2 linked regions of the Saccharomyces cerevisiae S288C genome follow. The gene in region 2 interacts genetically with the main gene of each other region. Each region holds a gene or a part of one and is shown on either strand. Other genes may lie near its edges.

Region 1 (2,880 bases), on a different chromosome or scaffold from region 2:
AAATAACTTGCATTCCACGATGTTATTTTACTTTATAAAGCACCTGCAATTTTTTTTTTTGTATTAACTCATCGAGTATGTCTGATGTGTAAACTGAACCAGGCTTAATATCGTTTCTAATTCTTGTTGTGAGAAAACTTTCCTGCCTAGTGTATTTCGTCAGGGCGAACCTTCGGATAGGCACCGAACTCCGAGATTCTTGCTCCAATTTAAGAAATAAGCTTTTTCCGTCCCAATACAATAGAACATTATTAAAGTTAATAATAAAAATGGCACGGCACCAGTTGGAAGTTAAATCCCAACATTTGCTGCAAGAATAGAAAAGAAGTCATAACAAATTTGCATATTACTTACGGCTTCAAAAAAGCACCGAAACTAATCGAGAAAGCTTATAATATCGGTATACATTTGAATGTATTTTAACTATTTCTATATCAAAAAAAAAAAAAAAAATTGTATATTTTTCGTTATTCTCTAATTCGTATCACATTTTATCCCTAAGGGAATCTATCTCTAATTTGCAATAGTGTAGATACCGTCTGCGGATAGAGCGCTAGAGATAGCTGGCTTTAATCTGCTAGAGTACCATGGAACACCAGTGATAACTCTGGTAACTTGGTCGGCGGGAATACCAGTCAACATGGTGGTGAAATCACCGTAGTTGAAAACAGCTTCTGCAATTTCAACTGGATAAGTTTCAGTTGGGTGGGCAGCTTGGAAGGAGTAGTATTCAGCCAAATGAGCTCTGATATCGGAAACATAGACACCTAATTCAACCAAATTAACTCTTTCGTCAGATTGAGATAGTGTAGTGGTTGCTGCAGCGGAGGCACCAGCGGCAATGGCGGCGACACCAGCGGCGATTGAAGTTAATTTGACCATTGTATTTGTTGTTTTTTGGGTTGTTGCTTAGTGGAGATATAAGCTTAACTGGAAGGAAAAGAACAGAGAAATGTCTCAAACAAAGCTGATCAAACCGCTGTATTTATATAAATTTTTTGAGCAATTACATCCCAAACAGGCTATTACTGGTCACTCATTTTGCACTCATATCTCACATATTCTAATTCCTGGCCACTTAGCCATTATTACTATGGGGGTGTATTTTCCTTGAACGATGCTGCACTTCGTATAAGAAACACGCTTCATATTCCCCATATCTTCGTATGTTTAGAGCGCAAGAATGTTCCTTACAGTAAAGGTGCCTTTCGACCTGCAGACACAATGTTAGCCAAGTAATAGAAGCAAAGCCAATATTGTCTTGGCCTCGTTCAATTGCCTAACCCTTGGCACTAAACGGTTGCTAGGAGAAAAAACACGGACCTTTTCCCAAATTAGAAACACTAAAAAATGTTAATATGGTACTAGTCGTCGTACCCTGCTGAAATCATAAAAACCTTACGCCATCTGTGGGACTCGTCATAGGGTTTAGTGTATATTGAATGTTGGAAAATCTCTCGTTCTGATATGCCCAACAAACCAACAATGTACAATGTGAGGTTTCTACAAATCAACAACTATGGTTTCCCCTAATTCACTTGGATTGATTGGTTCTAGTGAAAACTTTACCTGTTACAAAGTTTTGAATCATTTTAATTAGATATCGTGTACCGAACAGTATCTGATTCGTATAAAAAAAGGAATATTGAAGGTCAGTTATCCTAGTGACAGGTGAAAAAAAATTGATATGTATGCCCTTTGTATTATCTTTGGGGTGGAAAGAAGTGAAAACAGAAGCAAATTGGTTTTGCAGTAAGTTTAGTCTTTTGACCTGTAACTGGTTAATTTCGAAATGACTGGTGGAGCCTGACTCGAATATAGAGCAAAGGGAGTCTTTAGTAGTATATCTTCTTACTTCGATGATATTTGAATAAAGTTCAACTATCATCTACCGATTAGTATTCATATTACTACTATATTATAATATGGGTGTGAGAATATGGCGTAACGTTTGAGAGATAGTCTCAGGTGTAGTGGAAGCTGAAATTCAGGGGAATGATGTTGTAATGGAATAATTAATGACAGGATATGAGATGGAAGGAAATTTAATTATATTATTACATAGAAATATCGATTTCCTTTTGTGAATTTCTATATCCTCGAGGAAACTTTCTGGTATACTTTGTATACTAAATTTTATAGCCTTTGACAACAACGAAATCCCAAAAAGTATTTCATAATTCATGTACTTACGAGAAGAAAAATCATTGCCCTGCTAGTGCTTCAAAAAATATAATTGGGAGCAACTAAAATCTCCTTGCAATGAGTTACAAGGAACAGATTCTTACCGGTAGTCCTGGTGAGCAAAAGACTTAACCATGTGGCAGCCGTTGTCTAATATCCACTAGCTATACACTTACATGGAATATTGGTTGCTGAAATAATTAGACTTAATGGTAGCAAACGTAGTGGTCATCCATATGAATATATGAGCAAGAAATAAACGTGAACATGTAAAATAGTAATACAGACACCATAATGTACAGGTTAATCCTGATATGTTTCTCGAATGAAATCGGGAAGACTAATAGGAGGCTCAATTCTATATTCACTCACGTTATGCGCCTGAATTTGAATGGATATTGTTGATAGAAGATTCCCTTTAATCACTCTCCTATATAAATATTTCTGTTTTTCTTATTAACGCAACAATAATTCGGGCGTGTGGTCTAGTGGTATGATTCTCGCTTTGGGCGACTTCCTGAATAAACAGGAAGACAAAGCATGCGAGAGGCCCTGGGTTCAATTCCCAGCTCGCCCCCTTTTTTTTGCATATCTGGTCATAATATCTTATCTGATCGACTAGTAGTTTCCTCATATATTAATTCCTTGTGCAATTTTTTTTTACTTACTCAATACTAAGCGGTTCTTCATAAATAT
Region 2 (3,844 bases):
GCATACCACATGACTTTCTTCGGAACACAACCCACGTTAACACAGGTACCACCAAGAGCCTTAGCTTCAACTAGTAATGTCTTCGCACCATAAGATGCAGCTCTTCTTGCGGAAGCAACACCCCCTGAGCCACCCCCGATGACGAGGTAATCGTAATGCTTGGTGTTCGTGGACATAGTTCTTATCTGTAGACTTCTAAATGTTTGTTTGGTTGCAGAAAGCATAAAGTTCTGTAAACTAATATGTAAATAGATATATATACATATGAAGGAAAGCAGCAAAATATACTGAGAGTGAGAAGCGCATGAGAAAAACCAGAAGTGTTTCTTATACTTTTTTAGACTGATTTTAATAGTAGATTCCAAATGGAAAGCTCCGAAATCCTCGAAAAATTGACAAGGGTCGTGCTTACTAAGTGACGTCAAAAAATATCAGGCATAGTGAAAACCAACGTGAAGAAGCAAAAGCAGCAAAGCGCCGTGCAAATGAATTAAACTATCTATTGAGACTCCTACATGAAATGCTTGCCAATTATGTACGTATAAAACCAACAATTTTATGCTAAACGCGTAAAATCTAGAGCCGAGTTTGATTCTTCCACGCTTTCAATGCTGTTATACGGAGAAACTGTCGTCTTTTCCGTACCTGACTCTGAAAATAATGAAGATTTACGGGCAGCATGCAGCATCTTTTTAGAATACTCATGCAATGTGCATAAAAGGCATAGAATTGACCAACAAACGCAAACACCGCCGTATATGGTTCCTAGGACTCTAAATGCATATAAGGGAACGTACTGGTTATACTGCACATATAACTCTTCGTTTCCTAAAGACATAGTACCCATCGGGAAAGTCATCCCCCAAAAACCTTTGTGGAAGGTATAAACTCTCTTCACTTTTCCTGTCTCGTTTTCAATCTCTTTTTTATTGTAGTACGACAGGATTGAAACGACAGAAATCACGGTGAAAAAATAGCCCATAGCGAGCAATGCCATAGCAGAAACCATGCCTAGAATTTTGAAACACCATGGAACTGCAATAGTCAATATCTCTTGTTCTCTTGTAATGTTATCTGTTGGGTAATATTTGCCCGCATATTTTTTTATATTATCTGTAAGCAATAAGACTCCAAAACTTCCTTGGCCCATCGGGCCCAAAAGCAGGAATAAGGTGAAAACCTGTGTCATTGGTGGTATCTTATTAATATAAAGACTCCAGAAGTATATCGCAATCAGTATGAAGACGAAGATAATGGCATGCAGCCACGTTAAGGCACATATGACCAACGTTATCAGTTGAATGTTTCTATTAAACGCATGGAAGAATATTTCTGACATTGTGAATGTTCCACAACTTGAAGCGACGACAACCAGCGGAATGATATCCAGTAGCAATACACTTTTCATGTTTTCGGATGCCATTTTGATATTATATGAAGGATAATTCCCAATCCCTTCCAAAGGGTAATAGTCATGCCAGATGAGAAACGAGATACCCCACGCTATTACTAGACAGACTGCGAGATCATACCACCACAAGACGTAAACAAATATCATCAAATTTCTGGCATTAGTGGGGCTCTTCGTCGTGTTCGCTTTCGAGAGTGCTCCTAAGAAATTTATAATTGTAACTAACCCCATGGGATAAGTACCCCAAAATAAATTGTGCTTCATATTTCTGAAAAAGTCATTAAAATATTCTCTGAAGCTTTTCTCCTTAATATAGACAATCAAATGTAATATTTGTAGTGCCTGCACAGCAATGAAAATAAGGCAAGCGATAGCAAACATGATGTAGGAGCATATTCTTAGCCACCTTGCAGGATATGGGAAGCTATATAGAATATTCGATGAAATGCCGACACCCATGACCATCATAAACATGAAGGGGTCAAACTGCCTCGTAAGAGCAAGTACCCAATTGGCAACCATTTTTTTCTTGTACTTGTCTTCTCTTACACTATAAAACGTTTTTAAATTGCGCGTATTGTCTGAGCTCAATCAACAATCGTTACTAGGGGAAAGCTGTAATTTGTGTGTTGTCTAAATGCGGAGAATTTGTTCAGCCAATATCACAAGTTTCAACTTAACAAGACAAGGATTAGAAATAAGAACTACACGCTGGTTGGCTATTCTTTTAGAACCTCTAGTTAAATAGGTAAAATAAGCAAAGTGAGCAAAAATAAGCAAAAGAAGTCAAAGACAACCCCAATGTGCCAAAGACGGCGATGAGTCTTCTGTTTTTTAAGATTCATGCACTCTCAGATTTTCGGCTACAGACGCGGCACAAGGATGAAAAAAAAAAAATGATAGTTTGCAGGAATTTATCAGTCAATTGATGGGAGACATCGCTATTGTTGCCTTATACGATACACTGCAAAAACGATAACAATTTCTTATTTGTCAACCTCGTGGGAGACTCGATAGGTTGCATGATGATGTGTCACAAAAAAGTAGAAGTGTCATCTTGACGCTATCCCACCCCTTCTTTTTCCACATGCTTAATTATTTGTATACATCCAGTGACATACAAAAAAATAGTAGAACATGGAGGGGTCGGCTTGTTGGATAATTTAAATCGGTTTATTATTATTATACAGATTAAATAAAATTTTTTTAAAAAAAAGATACAGAAAAAGTGAGAAAGAAAGAAAAAGAAACCACTAATAGTGAGAGAGATAATCAAATGTAAATGGTAATCCTACCAGCCCAAAAAGATTAGAATGTCGTGTACGTACATCCACATTTTATATTCATATTTTTTTTAAAGTACATGCAAAAGAAAGAATAAGAAGTAGAGAAATCAACGGAAATCTGTCTTACCGACACCACGCTTACCACTGAATAAATGCTTTGATAAGGAAACAGCATTGTGTCTATCAGATTCACCTTGCTTGGCATGTCTATTTCTTTCTCTTCTTTCCATCTTGGCCATCCTGTCGGCCTTGGATCTCATGGAGCCATCAGCAACACCATCCAACAGTCTATCGGTTTGTCTCAACTTGACACCGTTTTCAGTGGAAGCTGTCAAAGCATCTTGGTCGCCAAAAACAACATCAGAACCTCTTTCAACATAACGGTTCTTACGAGCAGCACGGTTCTGTTTATCTTGTAAGGCTGACATGTCATGGCCCAAAGTGGACATGTGTTCTTCCATTTTACCAAAGGACTTAGTTAGTTTAGAACGTGGCATGATAGCTTTGTTCTTCAAGGACTTCCTATTTCTTGCTTCAGCAATCATCGTCTTTTGTCTATTTCTAATCCATGCAGCTTTCTCCTTGATATCATCTACTTCGGATGCTTCGAAACCGTCGTAGATTTCTTCCTCATCGTCAGAATTGTAGAACCCTTCGTTCTCCAATTTTTCTTCTTCTTCTTCAAGAGCCTGCAGTTTAGCAGCGATTTCAGGGTCCAAGAAATCATAAACATTCTTACCATCCAAGATTTCTGGCATGATGTCATTCTTCCACTCATCATCTTCTAATAGGTACTTGTCCTTCAAGTTAACATTGAAGACACCAGCACCACCATTTTCAGCTTCGATGTCTCTGGCCAACTTTCTCCTGTTTGGATCTTCAGGGTCGTATTTCTTCAAATTCTTGACAGATTCTGGGATAAATGGTGTTCTCTTGACATCATCTCTTGCTTGAGGTTGAGCAACATGAATCTTGTTCAGAACATTGTTGATTCTAGACTGAGATTTCAACTTATTCTCAATTCTAGAAGCCAATAGTTTTTCACATGCTTTGTTTCTAACTTCCATAACGTTTTCTTCCAGTTGGCATGAAGAAGTCATGATTTCAACACCTGGAACCTCCTTAACAGATTCCAGTAATTGTGCAC

The links. Genes that interact genetically often act in the same process or in processes that back each other up.
Region 1: mutations in SSU1 (region 2) and PAU5 together harm fitness less than expected from each alone (positive genetic interaction), as found in Saccharomyces cerevisiae (one large-scale study listed by BioGRID).

Annotation. Positions count from the first base shown.
Region 1 is NC_001138.5:98,718-101,597, forward strand, and holds PAU5 (seripauperin PAU5), read right to left. Parts: upstream 883-2,880; coding exon 514-882; downstream 1-513. Other genes in the region: YFL019C (uncharacterized protein), read right to left, coding at 1,535-1,888.
Region 2 is NC_001148.4:371,882-375,725, reverse strand, and holds SSU1 (Ssu1p), read right to left. Parts: upstream 1,934-3,844; coding exon 557-1,933; downstream 1-556. Other genes in the region: glutathione-disulfide reductase GLR1, read right to left, coding at 1-224; putative GTPase NOG1, read right to left, coding at 2,805-3,844. UniProt on the Saccharomyces cerevisiae protein: Involved in efflux of free sulfite. Mutations in the SSU1 gene cause sensitivity to sulfite.